2 linked regions of the Rattus norvegicus genome follow. The protein of the gene in region 1 interacts with the protein of each later gene in a biochemical or structural test. Links are inferred from orthologs where the notes say so. Each region holds a gene or a part of one and is shown in the gene's direction. Other genes may lie near its edges.

The links.
Region 2: the proteins of Plau (region 1) and Serpina5 form a complex in vitro, tested with the Homo sapiens proteins (2 studies listed by BioGRID). The link is inferred for Rattus norvegicus from reciprocal best matches to the Homo sapiens genes PLAU and SERPINA5.

The regions. Positions count from the first base shown.
Region 1 is NC_086033.1:3,509,146-3,513,441, reverse strand, and holds the start of Plau (urokinase-type plasminogen activator precursor), read left to right. Parts: upstream 1-1,454; 5' UTR 1,455-1,482; intron 1,483-1,797; 5' UTR 1,798-1,831; coding exon 1,832-1,885; intron 1,886-2,314; coding exon 2,315-2,345; intron 2,346-2,494; coding exon 2,495-2,602; intron 2,603-3,195; coding exon 3,196-3,370; intron 3,371-3,776; coding exon 3,777-3,868; intron 3,869-4,019; coding exon 4,020-4,242; intron 4,243-4,296. UniProt on the Homo sapiens protein: Specifically cleaves the zymogen plasminogen to form the active enzyme plasmin.
Region 2 is NC_086024.1:128,786,864-128,791,182, forward strand, and holds the start of Serpina5 (plasma serine protease inhibitor), read left to right. Parts: upstream 1-1,217; 5' UTR 1,218-1,225; coding exon 1,226-1,320; exon of another isoform or gene 1,321-1,338; intron 1,339-1,645; exon of another isoform or gene 1,646-1,685; coding exon 1,686-2,314; intron 2,315-3,208; coding exon 3,209-3,479; intron 3,480-4,029; coding exon 4,030-4,177; intron 4,178-4,319. UniProt on the Homo sapiens protein: Heparin-dependent serine protease inhibitor acting in body fluids and secretions. Inactivates serine proteases by binding irreversibly to their serine activation site. Involved in the regulation of intravascular and extravascular proteolytic activities.

The DNA.
Region 1 (4,296 bases):
TGAAATAGCATTCAGTGAAAAATAAACGTTCCTTTCACCTTGTCCCCCAGACCCACAGTCCCTCTACTAAAAGAGGAGAGCAGACACTCCCACCATTGTTTATAGCCCACATTAACGAGGTTTGACCACTCCCTTGCCTTTTGTTTCTATCCTGCCACAATTTACTGTTCACACTAAGACTCCTGATTGAGCACTGATTGCTCTTCCAGAGGTCCTGAGTTCAATTCTCAGCAACCACACGGTGGCTCACAACCATCTGTAATGGGATCCGATGCCCTCTTCTGGTGTGTCTGAAGACAGCTATAGTGTACTCATATACATACAATAAATAAATCTTAAAGACTCCCCCTCCCTTGATTGTTTATCTTTGTTTGTGTGCAACCATAGTTCCACTGAGATCTGCACTCGGTCCTGTTCTGAGCTGCTCCTTGGTAGTATTCTTCCCCAGACAAATACATTTATTATAGGAATTTTTCAAAAGACCCATTGACACTTCAACCAGCCAATAGCAGCTGGTGTCCTAAGACTTTGCTCCTACAATCCTATCAGATAGTAACCTTTATTGTTTTTTTTTAAATCATAATTATTTTTGAGGATTTCACTATGTAAATTAGGATGGGCTTGAACTTACAGAGATCCACTTGCCTCTTCCTCCCTAGTGTTTGGATTGAAGGGTATGCCATTATGTCTGGCCCATGCCATAATTTTTTTTTTTTTCGGAGCTGGGGACCAAACCCAGGACCTTGCGCTTGCTAGGCAAGCGCTCTACCACTGAGCTAAATCCCCAACCCCCCATGCCATAATTTCTAAAACCATCTTTCAAAGACTAGCCTTAAACCAAGCAGCAAGTCTGAATAAAATCTGACCTTTGCGTCTCACCCTCTGATGACACCCTTAACACTCCCTGACTACAAACTTCACTTTTGTCTTCTGATTCACTGGTTGTGTTAGTAATATTTGGGGACTCAGCATTTGACATGTGGGAACCTTTGTGAGTAGGTTAGGAACTGTGAATTATACACCTCTAAAGACATCTGAATCAATGTCGTAGGCAGGTAGGGGGTCAAAGATGGACAGGTTGGAGAAGAACTGATTAAACCACTAAGGAAGAGGCTTGAGGTCAGCAAGCCCATGTCTGGAGCGCCGTCACCACGCTACATTGGGGCCACACTAGGTGAATGAAAGAATGGAAGAATGCACAAGCTGCTGGGTCCCTCAGTCTAGACTGCGTTAGTTTGGTCAGCTGGAAATCCCATGACTTCGTCAAAGTCGGGAAGCAAGCGCTGTCCAGTTGCGGTGGGATGTAGGAAAAGGAAAAGAAGGGAGAGAGCGCCGCCCTCCACCAAACCTGGGCGGGGCCCGGGCCCGGGCGGGCCCTATTAAAGAGCGAGCAGCGCGGAGCAGTGAGTGGAGCCTCAGAGCACCGTCTGTCATCAATCCAGTCCTTGCGTGTCTGCCGGCGCCCTTCCGCTGCAGTCACCGGTGAGTGCTGTTGGTCTGAAGCAAGGCTGGCGGGATGAGGCAGCCAGGGTCCCTGCATGCCTTCCCTTCCCCCTACCTCGGTTGGCTGAACTGTGGGCAAGGTCACTCACTACTCCAGCCCTTTGCTCCCCTCTACAGAGAGGGTCGGTGCTGTTGTGCAGGTTCAGAGCCCCAGACGCGAGAGACTGCCTGACCTGGGGAGCTTGGTCCCTGTTGGCGCGCCCCGCAGGGGATCTGAAGTGTCTTCCCTTGACCTGTAGTAACTCTGCCACCTTCAAGCTGCTCTTCTTGCCCTGACTTCTCCTTCCTTTGCAGAACTGCTGTCTAGAGAGAGCCCAGCGTCAGTACCATGAGAGTCTGGCTTGCGAGCCTGTTCCTCTGCGCCTTGGTGGCGCACTCTGAAGTGAGTGGTCTCGCTGCTTTGGCAGCTTAGGAAGGGGCTCGCAGGACCCCTTAAGCAGCATCGGGACAAAAGAGGGGATGCACGGGGAGCTTAGGCATCAAGACAGGTTTAGGCTTTCACAGGAAATGGGAAATGTGTCAGCGGAGGGCTTGGGCACCCCAAGAGGTTTGCACTTTCTGGCAAGGGAGGTGGTAGCCACGGGGAGTGCCTTAGCCCAAGGCACTTGGTTTGTGTGAGGTTTGCTTGAGTCAATCCATGTCTGGGTACTGGAAACCCATGGCCTTCATTTGTAGGACTGGCTAGTAATAAACAGAATGGGGAGAGACAGACAGGGGTGGGAGAATGGGGCGTGGGGGTCAGGACCTGTTTATCCTGAACCCAGACTCCCTAGAGCATGTCACCTCTGATGACCCCTACCTTCTCTTTCAGGGTGGCAGTGAACTTGGAGCTTCTGATGAATGTGAGTATCTGCTTCCTTGCACAATAGCTGGCTGCACAGACATCCTGGAGAAACCTTAGAGACCTGTCCCTGCTCAGAGGCTGCCCCCCACCCTGCTCAGAGGCTGGCTCCCCCTTGATCCTTGTTTACCCTTTCTTTGCATTTGCTAGCAAACTGTGGCTGTCAGAACGGAGGAGTATGTGTGTCCTACAAGTACTTCTCCAGCATTCGAAGATGCAGCTGCCCAAAGAAATTCAAAGGGGAGCACTGTGAGATAGGTATGGGGGAGTTTGGAAGCTGGGGTGGGGAGGGGCAGGGTGGAGGACCAGAGATCTCGGAACAGGGAGAGATGGGTGGGGTGCAGAAGCAGGGAGAAGCTGGGTTTGGTGGTATAGGTCTGTGAGCCCAGCACTTAGGGGGACACTGAAGCTTAGTTGTTAAAAACACTGGCTGCTCTTCTATATAGTTTGATTTTTAGCACCCACAGTAGTGGGTTACAGCCATTTGCACCCTCAGTCCCAGGGGATCCGATGCCCTCTTCTGGCCTCTTCTGGCCTCTTCCAGTCCCAGTCATGTACAAGGTGCACAGATATACATGCAGGAAAAACACTTATACACATAAAATAAGCAAATAAATAAATTAAAACAGGCAGCAGAAGTTGGGACACACACACACACACACACACACACACACACACACACACTCGCACGCAGAGTCTCATGAAGCAGTGGCCATACAAGTGTGAAGAAAGGGTGGATCGGGTGGATCTTCCTAATGTCACCTGACAGGTCCAAAACTATGTCACCTCTGAAATGCCTGTCCAAACCTCCTCCTTCTTCTAATACTCTGTACTCCTCAAATTATTTCTAGATACATCAAAAACCTGCTATCATGGAAATGGTCAATCTTACCGAGGAAAGGCCAATACTGACACCAAAGGCCGGCCCTGCCTGGCCTGGAATTCACCCGCTGTCCTTCAGCAAACCTACAATGCTCACAGATCCGATGCTCTTAGCCTAGGCCTGGGGAAACACAATTACTGCAGGTAGGTGATGACTGAGTACCAGGAATCCTTCCCAGGGGCGACAGGGAGTTGGCTCAGCAGTTAAGAGCACAGGTTGCTTTTCCAGAGCACCTAGGTTCCATTCCCAGCATCCACAGGGCAGCTCATGACGGTCTTTAACACCAGTTCTAGAGGACCCAGTGCCCTTTTCTGGCCTCATTGGGCAGGCATGCACTGGCATAAATACAGGGAAACACTTATACAAGTTAAAAACAACGTCCCTCCCTCTGCCGTGGCCTCTTAGAGACCTAGGTCAGCAGCACCTGGTACACTGAGACGGGAATGCTGGCCCAAGAATCCAGACCTCTGGTTGAGCCTTTGCTGGAAGGGAGGATGCAGGGAAGACAGTCTGGGTTGGAATGACCTTCCCAATCCCCTGTGTTACCAGGAACCCCGACAACCAGAGGCGACCCTGGTGCTATGTGCAAATTGGCCTAAAGCAGTTTGTCCAAGAATGCATGGTGCAGGACTGCTCTCTCAGTGAGTATCACCGGCTGCTTGTGACAACGGTGTGGACACACACACAAAGAGACAAGAGTTGTCACCACAGGAGGGATGAGAAGTGAGGTTTGCCCCGGAGATCTTCATCTTTGCTGTCTCTCCCCCAAACATGTATCTCTCTCCTTTCTAGGCAAAAAGCCTTCTTCTACTGTAGACCAACAAGGGTTCCAGTGTGGCCAGAAGGCTCTAAGGCCCCGCTTCAAGATCGTTGGGGGAGAATTCACTGTCGTTGAGAACCAGCCCTGGTTTGCAGCCATCTACCTGAAGAATAAGGGAGGAAGCCCTCCCTCCTTTAAATGTGGTGGGAGCCTCATCAGTCCTTGCTGGGTGGCCAGCGCCACACACTGCTTCGTGTACGTTCATCCCTTTGTCTCTTCACTCTGACCCTCCCGGCCCACCCCAAGAAC
Region 2 (4,319 bases), on another chromosome or scaffold:
CATCTCTTCAGGCAAAGGTAGGTCAATGAAGGACTGTTGTGTCTAGGAGCCTGGGCATGTTGTCTGAACCTGGGTTCTGAAATCTGTGCAGCAGTGGCTGTAAGTTTTGACTGTGTATACACACACACACACACACACACACACACACACACACCTCCCATACACAGCTCACAAAGGCCCTCATCCCCAACCCTTACACCTATGCTGTAGTGGGGAGAATCTGGCAAAACCAAGCAGGTTTTTGTTAGGATAAGGATATAGAGGCTTTCCACAGTAGATGGCTCCTGGTGGGCATAGAGATGGGAGGGGTTCGCTCATCTTTAACGGCCTGGCCACCAGGAGTCTGACCATGCTCCAGTGAGTATATAAACAACACAAACTGGTTTCTTAAATCTTTTTGGGGGGGCACAAGAGGTGGGGAGTGGGCTTGGGGTGCTGGGAAGTAAGGAGGATGGGATACATTATGTCAAATTCCCAAATAATAACAATATTATGTTAAGAAGATGACTTTCCTATCCCTTATTTTACTCCTGAAGTTTCTACTCCTTCCTCCAGGTGGTCTTTCTGGGAACAATTTTATTTTTAAATTTCTCTATGAATTATGGCCATACTTCACTCTCTTTCTCATATTCAGGTGTCCCTCTTCAGGTACTACTTGACTTGGATGGTTCGGTCATTTATTTTATTTTTTCTTTAAAAGTAACAATGCCCTGAGGGAAAGGATCAGGGGATCAGAAGATAAAGAGAACAAAAGATAGAGACGATACAGTTTAGGATCAGGAAGTCTTGCTTGCACACCTATGTCTTATACCAAGCAAGTGTCTTTTAAAAGTATAGTATCTTATATACTAGGACTGGGGAGAAGAGGAGATAGAGTCAGCAGAAACTATCATACAATGGGACAAAGTCAGAGGGAAACTAATCAACAATGTTGCAGAAGGAAAACAGGTTATCTCAAGAACATTACAGACTGAGCACACAGAGGCCTTGGGATTGATAATGCCATCTCTTCAGGGGAAAGAGCCAAGTCCCAGGAACAGAAATCTTAATACTTTCAAGGCTCCAGCCTCAGTCTCAGACTGGTATTGACAGGCACATTCTTAGACAAAGAAACAGAAGTAGGTTCATTTTGTCTTTTTATCAGGGGCCCTGAGAAAGCCTTAGATTAGCCCAGCTCCCAGTGGGGCAGAGTTGGAATGGGGTGGAGACAGAGTCTCTGTGATCCATGACATTTGCCAGCTATAATTCACTCTGTCCTCTCTCTTCTCATAAGCCAGGTGGATTGCTACCCATCAAGACACTCAGCCACCACAATACAGAGTGAGTACACCTGCCGAGGTAGGACCGATGGCCTTAAGGATGTGGGTGGGTGGAACATAGCCCCTAGGCAATCTGCAGCCAAGGAACCCTATGAATGAGGCACAATGCAAAATCCTAAACTTAAGACGTTATGGGGGGAAAATGGTGATATTCTCTCTCTCTCTCTCTCTCTCTCTCTCTCTCTCTCTCTCCCCTCTTGTAACTCCATTGCATGTTGATCTTTGCAGCCCCATGGCCTAGCTTCCTTCTTATCCTCTTGGAGGATAAAAGGGGACATCTTTGCAGATGTCAGCCTACTTATTGTCTCTCTCACTTTGACCCACAGCTGTTCTCTCTTAAGAACATTTTCCTCTTCTCCCACTCAGAATGGCAGCCACAATGAGGTTCTTCCCCATTCTGTGCCTGGTGCTGTTCTTCAGTCACGGGGTGGCTTCCCGCCAACGCTCCCATTCTAAGGAGAAGAAGAAGTCTAAAGAGTCCTCTGTGGGTGCTGTGGGGACTTCCCGAAGCAGAGACTTTGCCTTCAGGCTCTACAGGGCCTTGGCTTCTGAAGCCCCTGGTCAGAATGTTTTCTTCTCCCCCATGAGCGTGTCTATGAGCTTGGGTATGCTCTCCCTGGGGTCAGGCTTGAAGACTAAGGCACAGATCCTGGAGGGCCTGGGCCTCAGCCTCCAGCAAGGCCAAGAGGATATGCTCCACAAGGGCTTCCAACAGCTGCTGCAGCAGTTCAGCCAGCCTAGTGATGGCCTCCAGCTGAGCCTAGGCAGTGCCCTTTTTACAGACCCAGCAGTACATATCCGGGACCACTTTCTGAGTGCCATGAAGACATTGTACATGTCAGACATGTTCTCTACCAACTTTGGGAACCCTGAAAGTGCTAAGAAGCAGATCAATGACTATGTAGCCAAGAAGACCAACGGCAAGATTGTAGACTTGATCAAGGATCTTGACAGCACCCACGTCATGGTGGTGGTAAATTATATCTTCTTCAAAGGTAAGCCTTAGGCTCCAACTTGAACTTTCTGTCTTTTCTCTTTTCTGTTTTTATTTTTATTTTTTATCATAAGATAGCATTCCCTCCCTGATAAAAGAGCAACTCACCCAGGTGCCAGCTGGGTGGAAGGAAGGCAGCCCCATGTAAGACAGAGCATCCTTATTAGTCTGTCGGTGATCCAACAGTCAGGAGCTGGTCCTTGTCATAGCCATCATGACAAAACAACCCTAACTGTCAAAGCCACTAGAAACAGGATAAGGACCTGATCAGGATTAAGAGGGCAGGAAACAGGAGGGGGTCAAAGACTACTGAAAGCAAATGTCTGTTACCATGCCAAGACACAATGGTCAGGACAGATTTTTTTTTTAAAGGACCACTTTATTGGGGCTGGTTTACCATTTCAGAGTCTACGACCGTCACAGTAGGAAGCATGGTAGCACACAGATAGGCATGGTGCTGGAATAGTAGCTGAGAGCTTACGTATGATCCACAAACACTCAGCAGAGAGGGAAGGGGTGCTGGTGTGGGTTTTTGAAACCTCCAAGCCCACTCTCAAAGTCATACCAATATGTGCTGACGAGGTCACACCTCTTAATCCTTCCTAAAACAATTCAACCAACCAGAGATAAAGCATTCAAACATATGAGACTGTGGGGGGTGGGCATTCTCATTCAAACCACCACAGCAAGAGTTTAGGAGGACAGGAGGACAGGCACATTAAAGGTTCAGGATACCCCAGAGTTATGAGGGGATTTGGCCTCTGAGTTATGGGTACTGCTGTTGCTGAGGTTGCTCTGTAGAGACACTCTTTGGATTGTCTCCACTCTTCAGTCACAGCCAAGGGTCTCATTTTTACCCAGTTCTCTTTTACTCCTACCCCTTGTTCATCTTTAGCCAAGTGGCAGACGGCCTTCAGTAGCACCAACACCCACAAGATGGATTACCATGTGACTCCCAAGAAGACCATTCAGGTGCCAATGATGAACCGCGAAGATATATATTCCTACATCCTCGACCAAAACATTTCCTGCACGGTGGTGGGGATCCCTTACCAAGGCAATACATTTGCTCTGTTTATTCTTCCCAGCGAGGGCAAGATGAAGCGGGTAGAGGATGGCCTGGATGAGAGAACGTTGAGGAACTGGCTTAAGATGTTCACAAAGAGGTACTCTCTGGGCCATTTTGGGGGCACGGCCTTCTACCCATGTCAGGGGAGACACACTCCAGGACCTCATAGTACCGGTGGGAAGGACTCCTCAGGCAGTGAGATAGCCCCAAACCTAAAGGCTTCCCATGAAGTCTTCAGCCCAGGACCTGGCCCAGCTTGAGGGATAAGATGCAGAAAGCTGGGGTTCTAAGGTGACACCAGAAGCCTAAGTGATTTTTTATAGTAGAGAATAGAGTTTAATAAGGGCATGGGGAGAGGAGTTAAGAGGGTAGTAGAGACAGAGAAAGGCAGAGAGAGAGAGAGAGAGAGAGAGAGAGTAGAGATGGCCATGAGCACTGGAGGGGGGGGAATGGGGAGAGAAGGAGGAGCAGGAAGGAGAGGACAGAGCTAGAGCAAGAAGGCAAAACAGCAGCCTAAGTCTAAATATGAAGCAAGGGACGCTTCAGAGATGAAGGTTCCAGAAAGTCTGTGAGGCCACAGAGAGTGGGTGCTAAGGACTTGTCAGCAAGCTCATGGTATCTAAGAAGGGACCTCCTTCTCTCTCCAGACAGTTAGATCTTTACCTCCCCAAGTTCTCCATTGAGGGTACCTATAAACTGGAAAAAATCCTCCCCAAGCTGGGCATCCAGGACATCTTCACCACCCATGCTGACTTGTCTGGCCTTACTGACCACACCAATATTAAGTTGTCTGAGGTGAGTTTATAAGCTCCTGAGCATCTAATTTCAGAAGTTACCATCCTGTCTCTTCTCACCCCATATTACCCTATCCCATCACACACTATCCTGCCCCAGCCCTCCCATTAGACCCCATCTCACTCTAACCCATCATACACCA